4 linked regions of the Arabidopsis thaliana genome follow. The protein of the gene in region 2 interacts with the protein of the main gene of each other region in a biochemical or structural test. Each region holds a gene or a part of one and is shown on either strand. Other genes may lie near its edges.

Region 1 (4,745 bases), on a different chromosome or scaffold from region 2:
CGTTAAAGTTAATAAAGGTTACAATCAGTTTTCATAGATGTCAACAACACATTAATTGCACCTAGCAAAAACTAGGTATTGTAGTTGATAAATAAGGACAAAAAAAAATGTAGAAGATGATTGATGACATTGGATATGTAAGTTTTTCAGTTAATAATAATAATGGTGATTGATCAAACAGACCCGATCTATGTTTTGTTCCACGACGAGGAATGGGGTGTTCCAGTTCGTGATGACAAGAAACTCTTCGAGCTACTTGTCTTCTCACAAGCTTTGGCTGAGTTTAGCTGGCCTTCAATCCTACGCAGAAGAGACGACTTTAGGTAAACTTAGGACGGTGAATTTGCTATTTTGTGTTTTGGTTTGGTGTGATATCAGAAGTTTTGGTTTCTTTTTTGTAGGAAGCTCTTTGAAGAGTTTGATCCTTCAGCTATAGCACAATTCACAGAGAAGAGGTTGATGTCTCTTAGAGTTAATGGGTGTCTAATTCTATCCGAACAGAAACTGCGAGCAATTGTAGAGAACGCGAAATCTGTTCTCAAGGTAGGCACTGTGTGTTTTGCTATGAAATTGTAGATACTATGTGTTTACTGAAATAGCTTTGGTTGTAATCTGAAAACAGGTCAAGCAGGAATTTGGATCGTTCAGTAATTATTGTTGGAGATTTGTGAACCACAAGCCATTAAGAAATGGCTATCGATATGGTCGTCAAGTACCGGTTAAGTCCCCAAAGGCAGAGTACATTAGCAAAGATATGATGCAGAGAGGGTTTCGCTGCGTTGGTCCTACTGTTATGTATTCCTTCTTGCAGGCCTCTGGCATTGTTAATGATCATCTCACAGCTTGTTTCAGATACCAAGAATGTAATGTTGAGACTGAGAGAGAAACAAAAAGCCATGAGACTGAAACCAAACTGGATCTGCATTCTCCATTACTTGTTTGATCAGAAACAGGGATTGGACTATTAAGAAGATGAGTGACCAGTGTTTGTATTCGTTATGGAATGTACCATTTGTAGCTAGCTGTGTTCATTGATTATGCTACTATCCTAGCTAGCTTTGTCTAACTAGATATTTGATGATGTGTTAGTGTTTGACCAAAAGATTGATTGCAGGGAAATAAAGAATTTAACATTTTGTAAAAGCAAATGTTTTTGCAAATTTTGGATCTTGATGCTAAGAGACAGAATCGGCTCAAGAAATGATATATGACTAAGCAATTTGACAAGACACAAGACAGTTTCAAGCCACTAATTAATGTAACATATGTAAGGAAACAGAATCATACATCTTAAGATTTTTTTATCTACAAATAATGCTTTTGAAACCAAATTCATGAATTGAATAACCACTCTAACACTCCAATGCTTCCATGGAGAAGGCTTTGGGCAGCATATTTGGATAATAAGTGAAGAACATATGAGATTCCATAAAGATCCAAATACCTGGACGAAGAAGAAAATACTCAAGAGGATTAGTTTCTCATATTCCAATGACATGCCATTTGGGTTTGCCTAGTTGTTTATGTCAACCACGAGCCTTCCCATTTCCAAGTGTAAGCTCAAGATCCTCCATACCCACATCATGTATCCTCTCTCCTTCCCAGGGTTTAACTTGGCTATTCTCAAATTTAAACTCAGAGCTTTGACCAATCTCTTGGAAGGCAGCAGTATTTGGAGACATCTGCTGAGGCGCAGGTTTCACAAGATTGAAGGTAGGAGAGGTTGGCACCATAGAGGCAGAGAATGGCTGTTGTTGTGCAAACTTCTGAAAGCTTATCCAATGACCAGAATCAACAGTGGAAGAGTCAGACTCATCACATTCAGGTATAGTAGCCGGGGTATGAAACTGGTGGCGATGTGTCGGACTAGCAGGTGCAGAAACCGCATAGAAAGGATAATTAAAAGACGCCATTGATTGTTTAGCAATGGCCATGGATTGCTTAGCGATAGATTCCCAGTTAGGCAACGGTTTCGGGTTCTTAGAAGTCGGCGATGAGACCGGTGGGGTAACTGGACAACTGTTTGAGATTCTGAGGGAAGGAAGAGAAGAAGGAATGCCACCATTTCTGAGGAAAGGGAAGAATGTAGAGGACATGTTGTTATTTGGTTCACCGCGAGAAGGACTCGGGAATGATGAAGAAGACGGGCTAACTTGGTAAGATGGGATGGGACTTTGAAAGGCTGATGAAAGAGGGCTCTGGTTCTGTGATGAATATGGAGTTACTCGAGATGAAGTCCCAGCTATCTCACCAGGTAAAGGCTTGCATCCCTGATACTCCAACAAAAGCAAAACAATAACCAATCAAACATCAATCAATCACAGGTAAGCAAAAGAAACACAATGCAATGACTTTGGACCAAGTATCATACATAAAAGATTAAGACTTTAGCATACCAATAATAACTCTAAAATTAGAAAGAAAACCCATAAATTCACTTTGAGAAATCAGATCCATCCATAGTTTCTGATGATTCAAATTCACTTTGAGAAAACCCTCAAATTCTCAGATTCAAACCCATTTAACCACAATTGAAATCAACGAATTCAGATTCAAACATCAAAAACATCAATAAAACAAGCTCAGATCTGGAAAAAATGGAGAAAGTCTTCACCTTGCGATAAGTAGTACCATCTTCTTCAACAACCCAACCAGCTTCAACACAAAGAGCTTTAAGGACTTCATTATTATCACAATGTTTAGGCAAATTATAATCACCTTGAGCTCTAAGCCCAGTGTATATCTTCGCAGCTACAGCTCTTCTCCGTCTTTCTCTCCTCCGATTATTCTCCCTTTCTCTCCACGACGGCTTCCTCCTCGCCGCTGCTGCCGCCGCCGCAGCTGCAGCTGCTGATGTCGACGTAGCTCCATCCGAAGTCATCGGGAAAACCAACAACCAACCCCTCGAAACTTCCGGAGAGAGCTTTGAATAGGTGGGTGAAAGATTGTGTGAACGTAGACTGATGAAGAAGAAGAAGAGAGGAGTGAGAAGTTAGTGCTCACGAGGAATACGCTTTTCCTTCGCTGGAATCGAAGAAGAAGAATCTCTCTTTCTTCTCCAACAAATAATAATATTTTTTTCATCTAATGTAAAAATTGGGTCGTGTGTGTGTTCAAGTACATTGAGTTCATATTAAGAATCATTGTTCTTGTGTATCGATCGTCCACGTGTAAATACATGGTTTTGGAAGGGTGAGATTACGTGAGGTGAATATAAGAGGTGTATGTTAAGGTGCAGAGGATAACTACGCTTAGTAACGTGTGTTTATGTTCTAATCTTTTTTTTTTTCTGTGAGTATGTAAAATGAGTAATGACCAAATAATACAGAGAAAAGAAAGGAGGAGACACAGTGGGACCGTTTCTTCAGTGTGGGTCCCTTACTTGTGTGACCGAAAAACACACCATTTGATTGGTTTTTAAAATTTTATTTTATACAGTGAAGCCGTGTGATTAACATCATAATGATATATTCAATTAAAAATTATCACTTTTTTCTTGCATACAAATCTCACTTTAGAAACAATTTTGACTACTTTTGTCCTGATTAGTTGTATGTACACTGGCTCTCTCTTTTTTTTACCTTCTTCGTACCTTACAAATGATATAAAGATTGGTGAATACCATTTACTATGTTCTATAAAGTATTTAGTTTGGTTACATGTTGATTTTAAGCTTTAGTATCTAATATCCAAATTTTGGATTAATTGCTGGGTCCATCATTATTTATGTATTCATAACCAAAACTTGTATAGTTCATTGAACATAAAAGGAAAAAGGGGTTTACGAGTTTGTCCCATAACAAGGTTCGGCGGCATATATGATGTATGATCATGTAATATTTTTGGATTATGACGTTTATTTTGTAGAAAGTGCAGGAGCATGTAACTAATGTCTTAAAAGCAGAGGAACCCGAACCATCAACGCGAGTTGGGAAACATTTGGAATGAATCAGAGGGTTCGATGAATTAGGCAAAACTAAAGTAATCGCCGTTGCCGGGGATCGAACCCGGGTCACCCGCGTGACAGGCGGGAATACTTACCACTATACTACAACGACTTTGTTGCTAATCGAGCGATTATGTGTTAATTATTGGTGATACGTTTTAAATCATCAGTTAAATCTTAATACCAGCTTTCGTTTCTAGCATTAAAAGGAATTTAGGGGTTTTCTTCTTTGGTTTGGCACTAGTAACCTACTTGTGATAATAAGTAGATTATGTGTTAAGTATGTTTTTTTTGGAAATATGTTCTGTTTTTCCGATTAACTCCATGTTACCTAGCTAACTCGTTTTGGACAATAAGTACATTACTTTAAACCATCAAACTTACAAAATGCTATGTCTTGAACAAGAAAAAATGTTGGCTTAAGAATCACTCCATGAACATTGTTTTAGTTTAGTTAAATGTTCAATATGGACATTATACGATGACATATTTAATAGAGGCGTGATTTCAAATTCAAATTACATTGGAGAGGAACGAAAACAAATAAACAATAGGGGTATAATCGTAACTTACGCATGCATGGGCCCCATAACTCCTGACTTTTTTTTTATTTTGAAAAAACCCAGTCAACCATTCATATTCACGTCGATCGCGTGTAGACATTACACAAAATTTACGAAGTGTGGCCCTCGTTTTCCTTTTTTGATCATTTTAAAACCCTCTAAAAGCATCAATCTCAGATTCCAATACAAATTAGTACCCAAAATGTTTCATACAAATTAACCAAACGTATCCACTC
Region 2 (5,488 bases):
AGCCATCTTCAAGAAGAAACCAACCGAGAAACCCTTCTGATTTACTTACGCAGTGCTGTTAAGTATGCCGTCTCAGTAAGATGTTTTCTTGACTTGTAATAACAACCTTGAAAGTGAAAATCAATATGAGTCTTCCTTTTTCTGCTTGGAGTCAGGTATCGAGTTTTTTTTTTTTTCCTATGTCCTTTAAAAATGTGTAGTTGTAGATGTAGTTCCCTGTTTTCATGCATTCTAATATTGATTGCAAGTTCAATGAATAGCGTTGTGTTGGCGGTATAGGGTGTCAAATTATGCTTGACGCTTATCAGTCATTACCAATGATGTATGTGACTGTCTATTGCAAATGTGGCCGACTTCATGAACAAATATGAACAATAGTATCATTGGTTACATACACCAGGCATAAAACTACATCATCCTCCAAAGGCACTGCTGATCTCAGGGACGTGGAGGTCTGTTCTGTAGAAGCTGGCGCTATATTGAATACAAAATGCGTGGAGTCAACATTAAAATAGTTTTTATGATTCACTCGGAGATCTTTACTTGATTTGGTCGGCTGTATTATATTCGTGAACTCGGAAGTCAAGGCCTGTCTTGATGGAAGAATGACTCCTTACTTTTAATATATATATAAATAATACACTGGATATGAATGCCATCTTTTGTTTGTTTACTTTTGGCGTCATGTGATTCTTGTATTGTTTACTATTGTTAAATGCAAGTATCAGGTAGTGCTTAAGATGGAAGCATGTGCATCTCGTATGTTGACCATAACCTCTCCAAGAGTTTTCTTGGAGTTGGGAGAATCGCTGACTTGATTAAAGAAAAACAACAAAAGAATATAATAAGAGATGGGAGGTGGGGTCGGCGCCGTCCCTACTCGATGATATTAGTCTATAAAAGAGAGGGAAGGAATGAGGTAAAGAAGCAGAAAGCTGGAGAAAGATGATTTCAATGTTGTTTCCGCGGTCGCCTTTGTGCACAGCAGCCATAGTATTCTACACATGTGTGTGCATTCCCTTGGGGAGGTTGAAGAAGAATGGTGGAGATGCGGATGCGCATGATGATGACGGTTACAACCTAGTGGGAGTGATGTTTGGGGACAAGGAAAAGGAGGAGGAAATTTGCTGCCCCATATGCCTGGTGGAGTTTGAGGCTGAGGATGCGGTGACCCATCTTCCCAGATGCGCTCATCTCTTCCATATCAATTGCATAGAACCTTGGCTTCTCCGTGGCCACCTCACTTGCCCTCTCTGCAGATCATTTGTATTGGCTCCAACTCCTCCTACACAAAATGTCAATAATGCACACTCCTCTTCCACCTTGTATCTCTCTATCTTCTTCTTTTTCTGTATCTTTCTCCATCTACTTGGATACTTGTAGCCTAGCTTCCTTGTTAACACACCCATTCTTTATTTAACATGTATTTTGTCTTAGTTTCCAAGCACATATTGTCTCCATCTCCTTTTCAATCAAGATTTTGTGGATTACTCAGTTTTATGATATACTGTACTAAACAGAGACAAAAGCAGCACGAGTTTAGTTTTACCAGCCTTGCCTAGTGCCTACTGCTGCTCTAGTGCTCTGTTTCCTAATTGATTTGTTACTCTGCGTAAGACCATTAAGTAAACGGGCTAAAGGCAACTTAATAGGCCTTATTTTTAAAACACATTAAAAGTGGGCCTCATTTTAAACCATAACAGATTAAAAGTGGGCCTTTCCATTATAAACTGAAAGTAGAAAAAGTTGGAAGAGAAGAGTAAGTAGGCTACAGTTTCAGTCAGAGGTGAAAGAAAATCTGAAAGCAAAGCAGAGAGCAGCTCCCTTCCCCTCGGCGAGGAGGAAGGAAGAAGAAAGCCAGAGAGAGAGAGAGAGATCATCGCAGCTTCTCCTCCGACCATTTGACTGCGACTGTGATTACAACACACCGTTGATCCTACGAAAAAGGTCAGTCAGACTCTCTTCCTTGTCTGCGTGATTCCATTTTCCGGCGTCTGTCTAGCCTCGCCGTCTTTTAATATCTTTCACTCGCCTTCCTGTCTCTTCTGCACACTAGATTTGATTTTTTCGTAACTTAAAAAAATGTTGTTGTTGTCATTCAAACGCGTCCATGGCTCAGCTACTCCGCGGCTAGGGTTTAGTTATCATTTTTTAATAATATAATTTTTATGGATCGGCGTGCGTGCAGAGGTAATGGATACTGGCGGCAATTCGCTGGCGTCCGGACCTGATGGTGTGAAGAGGAAAGTTTGTTATTTCTATGACCCTGAGGTCGGCAATTACTACTATGGCCAAGGTCATCCCATGAAGCCCCATCGCATCCGCATGACCCATGCCCTCCTCGCTCACTACGGTCTCCTTCAGCATATGCAGGTTCTCAAGCCCTTCCCTGCCCGCGACCGTGATCTCTGCCGCTTCCACGCCGACGACTATGTCTCTTTTCTCCGCAGCATTACCCCTGAAACCCAGCAAGATCAGATTCGCCAACTTAAGCGCTTCAATGTTGGTGAAGACTGTCCCGTCTTTGACGGCCTTTATTCCTTTTGCCAGACCTATGCTGGAGGATCTGTTGGTGGCTCTGTCAAGCTTAACCACGGCCTCTGCGATATTGCCATCAACTGGGCTGGTGGTCTCCATCACGCTAAGAAGTGCGAGGCCTCTGGCTTCTGTTACGTCAATGATATCGTCTTAGCTATCCTAGAGCTCCTTAAGCAGCATGAGGTTTGTCCACCTGCACCGTTTTGATATATGCTAGGGATGGTTATGTCGTTTCTGAATCTCTAACTCTTCCTCTCTCGTTTGCAGCGTGTTCTTTATGTCGATATTGATATCCACCACGGGGATGGAGTGGAGGAGGCATTTTATGCTACTGACAGGGTTATGACTGTCTCGTTTCATAAATTTGGTGATTACTTTCCCGGTACAGGTCACATTCAGGATATAGGTTATGGTAGCGGAAAGTACTATTCTCTCAATGTACCACTGGATGATGGAATCGATGATGAGAGCTATCATCTGTTATTCAAGCCCATCATGGGGAAAGTTATGGAAATTTTCCGACCAGGGGCTGTGGTATTGCAATGTGGTGCTGATTCATTGTCTGGTGATAGGTTGGGGTGCTTTAATCTTTCAATCAAAGGTCATGCTGAGTGCGTCAAATTTATGAGATCGTTCAATGTTCCCCTACTGCTCTTGGGTGGTGGTGGTTACACTATCCGCAATGTTGCCCGTTGCTGGTGCTACGAGGTACTTTCTTCTGTTCATTTTATGCTGCTCTAGCTTTGCATTGAAATTTCCTTGGTCTCTGTACCAAGGTTAGCCCTCTGTGACGCCTCTCTTTCTTTGAATTTATTACAACAAACTGTTTATATGACAGACTGGAGTTGCACTTGGAGTTGAAGTTGAAGACAAGATGCCGGAGCATGAATATTATGAATACTTTGGTCCAGACTATACACTTCACGTTGCTCCAAGTAACATGGAAAATAAGAATTCTCGTCAGATGCTTGAAGAGATTCGCAATGACCTTCTCCACAATCTCTCTAAGCTTCAGCATGCTCCAAGTGTACCATTTCAGGAAAGACCACCTGATACAGAGACTCCCGAGGTATGCCACTTGAGCAAATCATTTGAAGTGTGTTGGCTCCTTTATTTCTGTTGCCCATTCTTTCTTGCATTTCCTCATGGGTTTTGGTGAGCTTATCTAAGTGTAACTGCAGTTACAATAAGAATTTTCTAATTTAAACAGCTGGGCTGGTAAATAATGTTCGTCCAGTTAGATATGTATAAGTATTCCTTGATTGATGACTCTGGTTGTTACCAATCTTAGTTTTGTAAAATATGCCTTCTATGTAAATTATAGGTTGATGAAGACCAAGAAGATGGGGATAAAAGATGGGATCCGGATTCAGACATGGATGTTGATGATGACCGGTATGAAATATATATGTTTCCTCCCCTTTTTATTTTTGGTTCGAGTCAGCGGTGTAATGTTTACTTAATGTGGGATCGCATTGTGCAGTAAACCTATACCAAGCAGAGTAAAAAGAGAAGCTGTTGAACCAGATACAAAGGACAAGGTACTACAGCATTATCTCTTAATTGTTTCGATTTCTCAGACACTTTTTCTGGTACAAACATTTGAAGTCATTAGTTCATCTAGGTTTACAGCATTTTCCAGAACAGCACAATGTGCTCTGATAACATTACACTTTTTCTCATCCCGAGACCCAAAACCTAAAGATTCCAGAATGAGTCTCATTCTGACATTAAGTCAGTTAGTTTAAGCTGGAGATACATTCACATGAGGGTAGCGAATCTTTAGCTACGGTTAAATCATTTAGCCTAGGCTATTTATTTAGTATGCTCCCAGCTCCAACAATTGACCTGATTAGATAGTGTGACCGTCTAGCCAAGCTGAGCTGAATCATCTCTGCCTCTCAATTCCTAAAGCCGTCTCCTTTTCTTCCGAGATTAATTTATTTATCATGGCATGTTGTTCGTGCAGGATGGACTGAAAGGAATTATGGAGCGTGGAAAAGGTTGTGAGGTGGAGGTGGATGAGAGTGGAAGCACTAAGGTAAAATGAAGCAGTGGACAGGGCTGAAAAGGGTGGGAATGGTGGTTTTCTAAAGTGGTTAGTTTTGATTGCAGGTTACAGGAGTAAACCCAGTGGGAGTGGAGGAAGCAAGTGTGAAAATGGAAGAGGAAGGAACAAACAAGGGTGGGGCGGAGCAGGCGTTTCCTCCTAAAACATAAGACTCGGAGCTTCTAATTTCTTGCTACTTTTTCTGTCTATCAAATGTTGCTAGTTAAGTTTCTGGAGTTGTTGTTGTTGTAAGCACTCCTCTGTTTTAGAGGATTGAGCACGGATATGTATTTATTCGTTGCATGTCTGAATGATGATATGATATGACAAGACGAGCTATTCCTTTTGCTATATATTTATTGATTGGGCCGAAGAGATCTGCGTCTGCCCACCCCAAAAAAATAAAGAATTGATGTGCTAAACGCAGCAATGAACATCATCAACTAGTGAAGTGGGTGGAGAAGATGTTTTCCTGTAACACAATTGATTTCTAACTCTAAATTAAAAAAATGTAAATCCCTTTAAGACTATTAAGCGTCTCTCTGTCTGTCTCTCGTCGTTCTCGTTTTTGATTGCTTAGTTTTTTCCCGGGAGACTGAAACATGTTCACGGCGGCAGCTTCGTCAAGCGTGGGAAGGTGGCGGACGGCGTTTCTCTCTCTCAGGGACGAAATCTCAACCACTCCACCGCCGCCGGTTCCTCTGTTGCTCGAGGATCTACTCTTCTCTCAATCCCATTCCCTTATCTCTGCCGTCTCTCACCTCCCACTGCACGAGCTCACTTCCGATTGCTTGTTCCTGCTCGATTTGGTTTCCAAAGCTGATGGTCCTGACTGGATCCCTGTCTCTCGTCATACTTGTCAACTGGTGCGTCTTCTCCTTCTCTCCTCCCATCATTTCC
Region 3 (7,993 bases), on a different chromosome or scaffold from region 2:
TATTTTCTTTAATACGAGCAAATTCTCCGAAATTTGTAAAATACATAGAATTTTTCTATCAAAAATAAAAGTAAGAGTGTAGATTTGTATTTGATGGGATTTTTATTCTAACTGTGATATCTATATGACAAAATCTCTATTATTCTAACTTTTTTCTTTTTCTTGATATCATTCTAACTTAATCATTAGACTACAATCAATTTGTTTAGAATATATTTGTGTTGCGCTCATAACGATTCTTTTCAATATATATTGTTTGATTAAAGCTTTTAACAAAGTACAGTTTGCTTTCTAAATTATTTTTAACACGTATCCAGTTTTTTAAAAATATATAAAAATATATTCTTCACACCTATCATTTTTTATAAATAAAATATTTTTAACATTTAAAGATATATAAGATATTTCTAATAGTATAATTTATTTTTAATACTTATCATGTTTCTTAAATGGTTTGAACGCTTCGTTTCATTAGTTTATCCAACCTACCTCAGTTATGATATTACACTTTAGTAAAATAAAAAAAAACTGGTTATAAACTTAAAATATTATGCTTTGCTCGTATTAAAGAATTTCAGTACTTGTATATCGTTTTTTTAATTATTATTATGATTTATGACCTCGCGATTCGTGATGGTTAGTAGTAGACTAGTCGTAGTGGACAACTACTGTAAGAAAAAAAACTAAAAATAGATAGACACACACGCTAAATTAAATAAATCGTAAATCACGATTACATATTTATGTTTGTACTTGAAAATGTTATCGCTTTACGTGTGGTGATGGTGAGACAACAGTGTTTGTGTTTGGACGGGATAGATGTCAAATTACTCAAACGTGCGACTCTAAATTACACAAACTCTCATTTATTGCCCATCCTCCATCGATATCTTCACCCCTCTAATATATTTTAAAAATGTTATTTATAACTTCAACAATACACATTCGGTTTCATTTACAATTAATCCTTGCGTTATTATTACTTCTAAGCTATAGTATCTTGTACTTCCTTCCCCTGCTATTATTTAAACGGAAAGAATCCAGCTAATTCCGATCCACCTGCTCCTAGTAGCAATCTATCTATAAACAAACAAAACTAAAGTATAAATTATCACGAACATCTTAACAATAATAGTCAATGCAAGTGGTTCTTGTGTATACAAAGAATTAATAGGAACTACTATCCACATCCTTACGTTTACATTTTTCACAACCAATCATGCACTAAATTAACCTCTAATGAAAAAGTTAAAAATAAAGAATAATATTATCAAAGAATAATGATAATGTTCAGCAACATGTTGGACCAAGAAATGTTCAAACAATACTATAATATTGAAATATTTAGTAGTATTAGTTTTGTTCTTGTTTTTTTTATATGAGGAACATCAGCCATATCGTATAAATCGTGATAAACCGAGTTTATAAATCATATTTCGTATCTCGCCGAGAAGAAAGACGACGTAGCATCTTTACGAGTTGAACATTTCTCCATCACGTGATGTTCGATGAGTTAACGCATCTCAAGAGCAATTGGCTCTTCAATGTCATATCCGTAAATATTAGTCAAACTTGAGGGCAATGACTCAATATAAAAAGCTTTGTCGTGCCACGAGGGATCTGGAGACAAGTCTGACACATTGAATGAAACTCTAGCCGTTAGATCTCCGTCCTCCGCGCCATCTGACAAAATCGACGGTTTTCCAGATAGGTGTAAAACTCATCGCGAAGGAGTGGATCACACCTCTGTGGAGTACAGCTGGCAACTAATATTCCGAGCCGATAACGTCGAGAAATGTAGCCGATCAAGTCGTAGTTATAAGCAGTTCTACTTATCATTCCTGCTTATCGCAGTTAGCTTTTCTTAGAGTGATAGCTAACTTATTTTATCAGCATCCAATTATCTGTCACCTTCTCTTATTAAAATCTCCATTTCTGCAAGTTTTAATGTCCGTATATATATCTCGAAGAGAGAGAAAATCCCTTTTTCTCTAGATAGAGAGAGAGAGAGAGAGAGAGAAGAAGAAGCTTTTTAATTTAGTTTTGCTTTCTTTCAAGTTTCCTTTTTTCGATAGAGAGAAAAAGAGTCCAAAAATCAATCCATCACCTCTTTCGTCTCTGTGGTCTTCTTCTTCTTCTTCATCGATCTCTCTCTCTTTATGGTGAGTAAGCTTCACGCTTCTTTCTTCTACCTTTGTTGCCTCTGTTAATGGAATCTAGCTGTTTCGAGTTTTATTGTATATATTTTTTTATCCTTTTGCCCAAACTTTTTTCTGGGTTTTGCTTTATTTTTTCATCCCCCTTTCTGATAATTAATTTGCTTTTTTCATGTAGTAAAAAAAGATTCTTTTTTTAAGCTATTAAATTCACATCTTCCAATTCCAGGAAGACCTAAATTTCCTCTTTTTTTTGCCGTTATCTGCAGAGATGCGAAGTTTCTGGATAATTATTCAGATATAGGTTCCAAGTTTTTAGCTTTCATTTCTAACTTCTCTTTTCGTGTTTTTTAATTTCCATAATCTGGAAACTCAGATTTGAGCTCATTTCGGCCATTGTTTATATTGCAGATCTGGTGATAGTTTGGTTAGTTGTTGTGCATCTGAGTTAGAAAAAAGTCTTTTAAGGAAGTGAGAGAAAACATGTCTTCTCTTAGTAGAGAGCTCGTTTTCTTGATCTTACAGTTTCTCGATGAAGAGAAGTTTAAAGAGACTGTTCACAAGTATGTCTCTTTTGCTCTGTAGATTTCCTTGGATCTAATTTACCAACTGACCTGTTTAGCTCTTGTGTTGGTTAATGCATTATTGCTTTGTCATGTTCAGGCTTGAACAAGAATCTGGGTTTTTCTTCAATATGAAGTATTTTGAGGATGAGGTTCACAATGGAAATTGGGATGAGGTTGAGAAGTATCTCTCTGGTTTCACTAAAGTAGATGATAATAGATACTCTATGAAGATATTCTTCGAGATAAGAAAGCAGAAGTATCTCGAGGCTTTGGATAAGTAAGTCATGGTTGGGGATTTGTTTTTTTTTTTTCCTTTCAGTGAGATAGCAAAAGAAAAAGAGTCTGATTTGTGATTGACCTTGGTGACTTTTTTGTTGGTAGGCATGATCGTCCCAAGGCTGTGGATATACTAGTGAAGGATTTGAAAGTGTTTTCAACTTTTAATGAGGAGCTTTTCAAGGAAATAACACAGCTCTTGACATTGGAGAACTTCCGGTAATGTTATATTGGATTAATGTAGTGTCCAAAGCCTTTGTTTTCTTAGCCGTAGTTCAAAAGAAAGATTGATGCAGAGTATTAAGTGTTTCGAGTTTGATCAACTTTTAGGGAGAATGAACAGTTATCCAAGTATGGGGACACCAAGTCTGCAAGAGCGATCATGTTGGTGGAACTCAAAAAGCTGATTGAGGCGAATCCTTTATTCCGTGATAAATTGCAGTTCCCTACTCTTAGAAATTCAAGGCTGAGGACTTTGATCAACCAGAGGTTTATTGCTTTGTCCCTTAATCTTTTTGTCTTATTCACTTCAAGTTGTTGTTGGCATATTAATTCATTCTATCTTTTGTTACTGCATAACTCGCAGCTTAAATTGGCAACACCAGCTTTGTAAAAATCCAAGGCCAAATCCAGATATCAAGACTCTTTTTGTGGATCACTCTTGTGGCCCTCCAAATGGCGCACGAGCTCCATCTCCTGTGAACAATCCACTGCTTGGAGGGATACCAAAGGCTGGAGGATTTCCTCCTTTAGGCGCACACGGGGTAATTTAGTTTCTATCATTTTTATTTATGTTTTCCTGAGGCCAAGTGTTTGATTGTCTCTATGTTTCCAGCCATTTCAACCAACGGCGTCACCTGTTCCAACACCTCTTGCTGGTTGGATGTCTAGTCCATCCTCTGTCCCACATCCAGCTGTCTCAGCAGGAGCCATTGCACTTGGTGGTCCATCAATCCCAGGTACTACTTGCTTATCAAATGTGTATGTTTCTTCAGACACACTTTGTGTGATCTATGCAATTTGCTTACAATGGAACTCCTTTCCTATCTTTGGTATAGCGGCGTTGAAGCACCCGAGAACTCCTCCAACTAATGCTTCTTTAGACTACCCGTCAGCAGATTCTGAACATGTCTCAAAAAGAACAAGACCAATGGGAATCTCTGACGAGGTGAATCTAGGCGTGAACATGTTACCGATGTCATTTTCAGGGCAGGCCCATGGTCATTCTCCGGCTTTCAAAGCACCTGACGACTTGCCCAAGACAGTTGCGAGAACTTTGAGTCAGGGCTCATCTCCCATGAGCATGGATTTCCATCCAATTAAACAGACCCTGCTTCTAGGTGTGTTTCTTGCTCTCTGTATGTGCTTCTGTGTAATAATAATAATAATAATCATCAGCAATTTTCTAAATTCGTTTGAATTGTTGTACCAGTTGGTACAAATGTAGGTGATATCGGGCTGTGGGAAGTTGGTTCTCGCGAAAGATTAGTACAGAAGACGTTCAAAGTCTGGGATTTGAGTAAATGTTCAATGCCCTTGCAGGTGCCTATGCATAGCAACAACAAAATGTTAACTTTTATATATGTTATGAATCTACAGTGACTGAATTAGTTGTATCTTCAGGCTGCTCTGGTGAAAGAACCTGTCGTTTCTGTCAACCGTGTGATATGGAGCCCTGACGGTTCCTTGTTTGGTAAAGAACTCGCCTTTAAATTTATATCTGCACATGAATGCAACTTTATAAGTCACCAAACGTTCTGAATTGCAGGAGTTGCTTACTCGAGACATATTGTACAACTATACTCTTATCACGGAGGTGAAGACATGAGGCAACACCTTGAGGTCTCGTACCATTCACAAGCCTCTCTCTTTAACAATCGTTTTTTCCCTTGGGGATTTTCTTGTAATATTGTGATTATTTCAGATTGATGCTCATGTTGGTGGTGTGAATGATATTTCCTTCTCGACTCCAAACAAGCAACTATGTGTAATAACTTGTGGTGATGACAAAACCATCAAGGTTTGGGACGCTGCAACAGGTGTCAAAAGGCATACTTTTGAAGGCCATGAAGCTCCTGTTTATTCCGTTTGTCCTCATTACAAGGAAAACATTCAGGTAAGCTTAGCTAACCGTTGATCTCCCTCCCTTCTATTAAATGTTTCAGTTTTTTGATGTGTTGTATTTTTCCTGTCATCAAGTTCATATTTTCAACAGCTCTTGATGGGAAAATTAAGGCTTGGTTGTATGATAATATGGGTTCCCGAGTTGACTATGATGCACCTGGTCGCTGGTGTACTACAATGGCTTATAGTGCCGATGGTACTAGGCTATTCTCTTGTGGGACGAGTAAAGATGGAGAGTCTTTCATTGTTGAGTGGAATGAAAGCGAAGGAGCTGTTAAAAGAACTTATCAAGGATTCCACAAGCGTTCTCTAGGTGTTGTGCAGTTTGATACAACTAAAAACCGTTATCTAGCTGCGGGTGATGATTTCTCCATCAAGTTCTGGGATATGGACGCTGTACAGCTTTTAACTGCCATTGATGGCGATGGAGGCCTCCAGGTACATGAACAAAAAATGCCTAACTAGAAAAGTTTTCAGATATTCTTTTGGAGTTTCTTCTTAACTTGCGCTTCTAATATATTTAAACTAGGCAAGCCCGCGTATCCGGTTCAACAAGGAAGGCTCTCTCCTGGCCGTGTCTGGCAACGAGAATGTGATCAAGATTATGGCAAACTCAGATGGTCTAAGGCTATTGCACACTTTTGAGAACATATCATCTGAATCCTCCAAGGTACTTAAAATCTAAGCTAAGCTTTAAATTACTTACACCCAATTGAAAGATTTAGTCAACACTTCATTCTACATTTGCAGCCTGCAATAAACAGCATAGCAGCGGCAGCGGCAGCTGCTGCAACAAGTGCTGGTCACGCAGATCGATCAGCCAATGTAGTTTCCATCCAAGGAATGGTAAGAAATACAATTCTTTTTTGTTCTTTCACTCACTTTATTTTATCTTTCTATTATTCATCACTTGCCTTTTTAGAATGGAGATTCGCGGAATATGGTGGATGTGAAGCCAGTGATCACAGAAGAATCAAATGATAAGTCTAAGATATGGAAGCTTACTGAAGTCAGCGAGCCTTCTCAATGCAGGTCACTGAGACTCCCTGAGAATCTGAGAGTAGCCAAGGTATATAAAATATACATTTTCTGAGCCATGTATAGGGTATATATATATAGCTGTTCTTTTTTCTGACAATAAAACCAATGACTTTTGGCAGATATCAAGATTGATTTTCACGAATTCGGGAAATGCTATTTTGGCTCTGGCATCAAACGCAATTCATCTTCTATGGAAATGGCAGCGGAATGAGCGCAACGCAACTGGAAAGGTGAAATTGAGACTCTTTCTTAGTCAAATAATGATAAGTGTCACTGATCTCTACATCTCGATTTTCCGTGTAGGCGACAGCTTCTTTACCGCCTCAGCAGTGGCAACCAGCTAGTGGGATCCTCATGACTAACGATGTTGCTGAAACCAATCCCGAGGAAGCTGTACCTTGTTTTGCTTTATCCAAGAATGATTCATATGTAATGTCAGCCTCCGGAGGAAAGATATCCTTATTTAACATGATGACGTTTAAGGTAATGGGGACACATAGATGCTGATCTTTTGATGTTCTGTGTATGCAATTTGACTGACTGTTCTTGGCTAATAATTTGCAGACAATGGCGACTTTCATGCCCCCACCACCGGCTGCTACTTTTCTTGCTTTTCATCCTCAAGACAACAATATCATCGCTATTGGGATGGATGATAGCACGATTCAGATTTATAATGTCCGTGTTGATGAGGTAATGCATCAAAACTCAAGAGAAGAATGTAGAAAAGAAGATGAAGTGTTTTGTTTGTTAATATGATGGCCATCATGTTCCTTGTTTGCTCCTGCAGGTGAAGAGTAAGCTTAAAGGTCATTCAAAGAGAATAACTGGTCTTGCCTTCTCCAACGTATTAAACGTGTTGGTTTCGTCTGGAGCAGATGCACAGGTTCCCGCCTTAGACCATTTTTTTTTTTTTTTTTGAGAATCGATGAAGAAAAGATCAATAGTCTTTGAAATGTTTTTGTTTCAGCTTTGTGTTTGGAACACAGATGGATGGGAAAAGCAGAGAAGCAAGGTTTTGCCACTTCCACAGGGAAGACCAAACAGTGCACCTTCAGATACGCGTGTTCAGTTCCATCAAGATCAAGCTCACTTCCTCGTTGTGCACGAGACGCAACTTGCTATATACGAAACTACCAAGCTCGAATGCATGAAACAGGTATTTTATATTTATAGGCCGCTCTCTCTAAGATCTGCAATTTATTGCATTTGAAAGATGATTAATGATTGCAATGTTTCAGTGGGCTGTTCGAGAATCATTAGCTCCAATCACTCATGCCACATTCTCATGCGATAGCCAATTGGTCTACGCGAGTTTTATGGATGCAACAGTTTGTGTATTTAGCTCTGCAAATCTACGGCTGCGTTGCCGGGTCAACCCTTCTGCGTATCTACCAGCTAGTCTCAGGTAAACAGAGGAATCTTGAAATTTACCCAAAAAAACAGAGGAATCTTTAAATTTCGGAAAGAACGTTTCTAAACATCAATCGGTTAGTTGTTTATATATCATAAAGCTCCTCTTGTTGACTTGTGCAGCAATTCAAACGTACATCCACTAGTGATTGCTGCACATCCGCAAGAACCAAACATGTTTGCAGTTGGTCTCTCAGACGGGGGAGTGCACATATTCGAACCGCTCGAGTCTGAAGGTAAATGGGGAGTCGCTCCACCGGCTGAGAACGGGTCGGCTAGCGGTGCACCAACTGCACCTTCCGTTGGAGCCTCTGCATCTGATCAGCCTCAGAGATGATCTGATCCGAGAGCCACCTACCTCTCTGATTCCCTTTCTTCTATTTAAAAGTCTTTTCTTTCTTATTTTTTTGGTAGAAA
Region 4 (5,623 bases), on a different chromosome or scaffold from region 2:
CTTCTTTTAGTTACTTTCAACTCTAATAACTTTTACTTCTTCTTTTTTTATTCCCTGTCCTAAGATATATTCCCATCCGTGATACCTTGAGAGTTAAGACGAAACAATACTAGTAGAATAAATTAGATCATAGAAGAAATCTATGTAGACAACACGGGGATTTCAATCTTTTGTTTTTAAATTAAGTTATCTAGTGCAATATTAGTGAAATATAGATTTTGTCCTTAAGACATTTTATCCTTATATGAATATTAATATTTGATACTAATAAGTAATGACTAAATTATTAGAGCTTTTGAAATCATGGGACATGCTGTCGGAGACTAATAAATATGAATCCAAAACAAAATTCCATGGCGCAGCCGGATTTTGCATGCGTTTAGAACCAAACATCCCACTTCCTAGTGAAAATCTTTTCTTAATTCATAAATCATGGAGAAGTAACTGTAATTTACATATGTACCCGTAAGCATATATATATGATCAGCAATTTGACTCGTATAAATTTTCAGAGTTCATATTTATGAGGTTAGAGAATTGCATTTGTACCAAAACAAAAACGAAAATGTAATCTCAGAAAAACGTAATTGCATTTTTAACAAGCTTTCATTTCAAATAATCTTGAATTCCAAAGAAGGCTGTTGTTCTGCAGAACATTATTCTATTCACACTTTAATAATTCGTCAAAAGAACAAAAGAAACAACAACCAACTAGCTAGTAACATCATTTGTTTAAAGAAACTTCCATTTGAATTCCAATATGGTAACATTATAGCATACGAAAGCACCTTAGTCAATGAGATTTGCACTTTTCCTTTGGAAAATTAAGTTCTGTATAATGGTTGAATATATAATATTGTGCGTGGGATAATCCATATGTGTACTACAAATAAAATGAAAATTGTATTGTAACAAATAAAATCAGAAGTTACGTAGTGGATAAGATTGAGAAAGAGAAGAAGTCCTATGTGGGTATTGCGAGGATAAGGTTGATAAAGACTCTGCGTCAAATGTTTAGTATCCTCATTCTTCATCATATTTTAAATAAAATACAAAAAAATTCTTAAATAAAATAAACAAATTGAGATTAGATTCTTTACATATTGCTTAATGATCATTACTTATGCGGTAAACAATCATTTTATTTGGAGACTTTATATGTCCCACTAAACTTCGGAAACTTGTAATTATAAATTATCGCCCAATAGTGTGTAACTCACTAACTTAAGCTATTGCTAAATAACATATTTTAAAGATATTCAAGTTAGGATCAGTGTTTAACGTAGAATTGCTGTTGTGGATTCACAGTTGAATAAGAATTGTAATCAATCTAATTAAACCGGACCTAATAAACAAATGATGTTAAGAAATAAAAAAAAATTGTCGATTTTTATGAATCATAATTTGTCAAAAAAAAAATATCCTTGAAGTTTTGTTTTGGATTAGTATAATAAAAAAACAAAAACAGTAAAGAAGATAAGTAAGATAACGATAATACAACAGAAAATTTCTGGTAAAACATAAAGTACTTTCTCAAGTTTTTTTTTTTTTTTTGTTGATAAATTATACTTTCTCAAGTTGACAAAGTAGCTTTGAATATTTCATAAGAATCAACACGTTAAGCTGCACTAACAGCATGAAATCGTGAATATTTATTTAGACCAAATGTCAATTAGTGCGTACTGTCGTAGGCACCTTCGTCACCCCACGATCGCTTCCGTCATATAATTTTCAGGAATATCCAACGGTTTGTGTTTTTCCTCTTATTAACGGTTTGTGTTTTTCCTCTTATTACTCCAAAATAAATATCATAAGACAAATATTACTTTGCACTAACAAAACAAAAAAAAAAAAAACAATAAATCAATACTACCAAAAAAAAACCGAGTAACAATTTAATTGGTCAACAGAAATTGATCAAAACCAAATCGGACACGGAACTGCTAATTATATACAGTAGTATTCTTTTCCAAGTGAGATATAAATCACTAATTTCAGTTACCTTCTGGAACAGTAGAGCTAGAGAAAAATTCAAAGACTTTTACAAAGTCTTGTAAGCAATTTACCCTAAACAATAAGATATTGGTATTCTTCAGAAAACAATCAAAATTCTCTTCATATCATTTTTTTTTGTTCGTTCTTCTTCAGAAAACAATCTTCATTTTTTTTGTTTTTGAATTTTTTTTGGTTCAAGTAAAACCTAACACCACACGAGTCTTTAAAAGTATGAATCTTTAAAGAGTAAACACATCTTTAAACAAAGACCACAAGACACAGAATAAAACCAGAAAAATCAGAACCCAAAGCCAAAGCGTTTTTATCATTTCTGTCTTCTTCTGTGTAAACAGTAAGACCCCAAAGGTCAAACCTTTAGGCTTTGTTTCTTCCTTTAAGGCTTTTTTCCGACGTTTATATCAGATTTCTTCTTGTCAATTTCTTCATTTGGACAACCTCCATAATCCAAGACCGACCCTTTTCCTCTAATCTCTCCTGGTAATTGACTTCATCAACCAATTTTTGTTTCCTGGTCCTTTAGTCTTTTCTCTAAGCTTTAGATACTTGTTTGATTATGTTGTTTTGCTTTACTCTGGACTTTAATCCTTATGTAAGCTGTTTAAACCAGTCAATTTGCTATTAAGAAATAGATCTTAGTGCTCTGATTGTTCTGAATTGGGACTATGGAAGAGATTTATTGGTTAACTGGTTATGGTATTGAGAATTGCATAGATTTGGTAGGTATCAGAGGAAGAGTTTTTTTCAATTGATTTGGTGAGAGTTACATAATTTTTTTTTTCAATTCTCAATGGATTTTTGATGATAGTCTTTGCTTTGGAGAATCAGCTCTGAGATTTGGATCATAAAGTTTCAAACTTGCTTTATCTATGATGAATTAGTAACAAAAGGCTTAAACTTTAGGAATGATCTCTTGAAGCTTTGCATGATTTAATAAGCTTTTGTTAGAATCACAGTGCTTGAGGTTTTTCTGTGTGTGACATTGATAAGATTTTGACATTTGGGAACGTTGTAGTTGCAGCTGAATGGTGGAACAAACTGTGGTTAGAGAACATATCAAAGCGAGAGTCATGTCATTAGTGAGGTCTGCAGAGCCATCCTCATATAGGAACCCGAAGCTTTACACGTTGAATGAGAATGGTAATAACAATGGTGTCAGTTCTGCTCAAATCTTTGATCCAGATAGGTCAAAGAATCCTTGTCTGACTGATGATTCTTACCCAAGCCAAAGTTATGAGAAGTACTTTCTTGATTCGCCAACTGATGAGTTTGTTCAACATCCTATTGGCTCTGGTGCCTCGGTTAGCTCATTTGGCTCTTTAGACTCATTTCCTTATCAGTCAAGACCAGTTCTTGGATGTTCCATGGAATTTCAGTTACCGTTGGATTCAACCTCTACTTCATCTACAAGGCTTTTGGGAGATTACCAAGCGGTTTCTTACAGTCCGAGCATGGATGTAGTGGAGGAGTTTGATGATGAGCAAATGAGATCAAAGATTCAAGAGCTTGAAAGAGCGCTTCTCGGCGATGAAGATGATAAAATGGTTGGAATAGATAACCTCATGGAGATTGACAGCGAATGGTCGTACCAAAACGAAAGCGAACAGCATCAAGACTCGCCCAAAGAATCATCGTCTGCAGATTCCAACTCTCATGTAAGTAGCAAAGAAGTGGTGTCTCAAGCCACTCCAAAGCAAATCTTGATATCTTGTGCTCGTGCGCTATCTGAAGGAAAATTAGAAGAAGCTTTGTCAATGGTAAATGAGCTGAGGCAGATAGTTTCTATCCAAGGAGACCCTTCTCAGAGAATCGCAGCTTACATGGTGGAAGGTCTAGCTGCAAGAATGGCCGCTTCAGGAAAATTCATCTACAGAGCATTGAAATGCAAAGAGCCTCCTTCGGATGAGAGGCTTGCAGCTATGCAAGTCCTGTTTGAAGTCTGCCCTTGTTTCAAGTTCGGGTTTTTAGCAGCTAATGGTGCGATACTTGAAGCAATCAAAGGTGAAGAAGAAGTTCACATAATCGATTTCGATATAAACCAAGGGAACCAATACATGACACTGATACGAAGCATTGCTGAGTTGCCTGGTAAACGACCTCGCCTGAGGTTAACAGGAATTGATGACCCTGAATCAGTCCAACGCTCCATTGGAGGGCTAAGAATCATCGGTCTAAGACTCGAGCAACTCGCAGAGGATAATGGAGTATCCTTCAAATTCAAAGCAATGCCTTCAAAGACTTCGATTGTCTCTCCATCAACACTCGGTTGCAAACCAGGAGAAACCTTAATAGTGAACTTTGCATTCCAACTTCACCACATGCCTGACGAGAGTGTCACAACAGTAAACCAGCGGGACGAGCTACTTCACATGGTCAAAAGCTTAAACCCAAAGCTTGTCACGGTCGTTGAACAAGACGTGAACACAAACACTTCACCGTTCTTTCCCAGATTCATAGAGGCTTACGAATACTACTCAGCAGTTTTCGAGTCTCTAGACATGACACTTCCAAGAGAAAGCCAAGAGAGGATGAATGTAGAAAGACAGTGTCTCGCTAGAGACATAGTCAACATTGTTGCTTGCGAAGGAGAAGAACGGATAGAGAGATACGAGGCTGCGGGAAAATGGAGAGCAAGGATGATGATGGCTGGATTCAATCCAAAACCAATGAGTGCTAAAGTAACCAACAATATACAAAACCTGATAAAGCAACAATATTGCAATAAGTACAAGCTTAAAGAAGAAATGGGTGAGCTCCATTTTTGCTGGGAGGAGAAAAGCTTAATCGTTGCTTCAGCTTGGAGGTAAGATAAGTGACAAGAGCATATAGTCTTTATGTTTCATAAAACATAATTATGTTTTTACTGTAATCTTGGGTTATTGTGTAACTGGTTAAATCATCTCCATGTATTATTACCAGAGGTTAGGGGTGATCACAGGTACTAAAAGCTAATCTAACACTTATGGAAGAATTTTTCTTTCTTTTTTTTCCCTATTATATAAAAATAATTAGAGTTTTGGTTCTAAACCTATTTGCTAAGTGTGAATGAGTCTTTACATGTTCATATTTCAGTTCAAATGGTTAAATTTGTTAAGGTTCTCACTTACTATTAGGCTTATCAGTTTTAACTCTTAAACTCAAAAGCTCATTAGATCCATAAAACTCACAAAAGGCATCGTCATTCTTCATCAATCACTAGTGTATCAGTACGAAACTAGGAAACGTTACATTTTTCAGCATCATTTTTTTTACATTCCAACGAAACGAAAAGGAAAACTCTAGTTAAGCAGAGTTAATACGAAATCACATAACCAAATCATCCTCAAAAGCTCTTTTAAACTTGAAGGTCTTGCTTTCCATTAACCACATTCTGCTTCTTCTCATCATCTTTCATCTCCACTGACTTCTCATCTTTCTGAGCATCTGCAGATTTCTCTCCTTTGTTTCCACAGTAGATGAAGTATAGTATCAATTGCAGTGTCCCTAATGCACATCCAAACCCATTTGGGATCTTCGCAACAACAAAAACCCAAAGTTAGAAACAAAGTTTTGATATTTACCAAAGAAAACAACACAAGAAGGAGAAATTGTAACTTACTGCAACAAAAGG

Evidence for each region.
Region 1: the proteins of HD1 (region 2) and BZR1 form a complex in vitro, tested with the Arabidopsis thaliana proteins (one study listed by BioGRID).
Region 3: the proteins of HD1 (region 2) and TPL form a complex in vitro, tested with the Arabidopsis thaliana proteins (one study listed by BioGRID).
Region 4: the proteins of HD1 (region 2) and SCL1 form a complex in vitro, tested with the Arabidopsis thaliana proteins (one study listed by BioGRID).

Annotation. Positions count from the first base shown.
Region 1 is NC_003070.9:28,183,845-28,188,589, reverse strand, and holds BZR1 (Brassinosteroid signaling positive regulator (BZR1) family protein), read right to left. Parts: upstream 3,087-4,745; 5' UTR 2,882-3,086; coding exon 2,615-2,881; intron 2,271-2,614; coding exon 1,527-2,270; 3' UTR 1,445-1,526; exon of another isoform or gene 1,180-1,444; intron 1,144-1,179; exon of another isoform or gene 944-1,143; coding exon of another isoform or gene 623-943; 3' UTR 544-622; downstream 1-543. Other genes in the region: AT1G75090 (DNA glycosylase superfamily protein), read left to right, coding at 182-323, 402-543, 623-943.
Region 2 is NC_003075.7:17,895,763-17,901,250, reverse strand, and holds HD1 (histone deacetylase 1), read left to right. Parts: upstream 1-1,741; 5' UTR 1,742-1,947; intron 1,948-2,188; 5' UTR 2,189-2,193; coding exon 2,194-2,721; intron 2,722-2,805; coding exon 2,806-3,246; intron 3,247-3,376; coding exon 3,377-3,607; intron 3,608-3,862; coding exon 3,863-3,933; intron 3,934-4,021; coding exon 4,022-4,079; intron 4,080-4,507; coding exon 4,508-4,579; coding exon of another isoform or gene 4,580-4,588; exon of another isoform or gene 4,589-4,653; coding exon 4,654-4,758; 3' UTR 4,759-4,973; downstream 4,974-5,488. Other genes in the region: AT4G38150 (Pentatricopeptide repeat (PPR) superfamily protein), read left to right, coding at 1-40; AT4G38140 (RING/U-box superfamily protein), read left to right, coding at 946-1,383; AT4G38120 (ARM repeat superfamily protein), read left to right, coding at 5,191-5,454. UniProt on the Arabidopsis thaliana protein: Responsible for the deacetylation of lysine residues on the N-terminal part of the core histones (H2A, H2B, H3 and H4).
Region 3 is NC_003070.9:5,415,006-5,422,998, reverse strand, and holds the start of TPL (Transducin family protein / WD-40 repeat family protein), read left to right. Parts: upstream 1-1,965; 5' UTR 1,966-2,162; exon of another isoform or gene 2,163-2,425; 5' UTR 2,426-2,460; exon of another isoform or gene 2,461-2,567; 5' UTR 2,568-2,639; coding exon 2,640-2,719; intron 2,720-2,819; coding exon 2,820-2,999; intron 3,000-3,103; coding exon 3,104-3,217; intron 3,218-3,328; coding exon 3,329-3,487; intron 3,488-3,584; coding exon 3,585-3,762; intron 3,763-3,833; coding exon 3,834-3,957; intron 3,958-4,056; coding exon 4,057-4,338; intron 4,339-4,430; coding exon 4,431-4,540; intron 4,541-4,621; coding exon 4,622-4,691; intron 4,692-4,766; coding exon 4,767-4,840; intron 4,841-4,922; coding exon 4,923-5,114; intron 5,115-5,197; coding exon 5,198-5,560; intron 5,561-5,651; coding exon 5,652-5,792; intron 5,793-5,872; coding exon 5,873-5,968; intron 5,969-6,044; coding exon 6,045-6,191; intron 6,192-6,282; coding exon 6,283-6,393; intron 6,394-6,466; coding exon 6,467-6,646; intron 6,647-6,727; and 10 more. UniProt on the Arabidopsis thaliana protein: Transcriptional corepressor. May repress the expression of root-promoting genes in the top half of the embryo to allow proper differentiation of the shoot pole during the transition stage of embryogenesis. Regulates the expression of PLT1 and PLT2.
Region 4 is NC_003070.9:7,506,683-7,512,305, forward strand, and holds SCL1 (SCARECROW-like 1), read left to right. Parts: upstream 1-2,018; 5' UTR 2,019-2,493; intron 2,494-3,028; 5' UTR 3,029-3,038; coding exon 3,039-4,820; 3' UTR 4,821-5,119; downstream 5,120-5,623. Other genes in the region: SWEET1 (Nodulin MtN3 family protein), read right to left, coding at 5,348-5,524, 5,612-5,623. UniProt on the Arabidopsis thaliana protein: Probable transcription factor involved in plant development.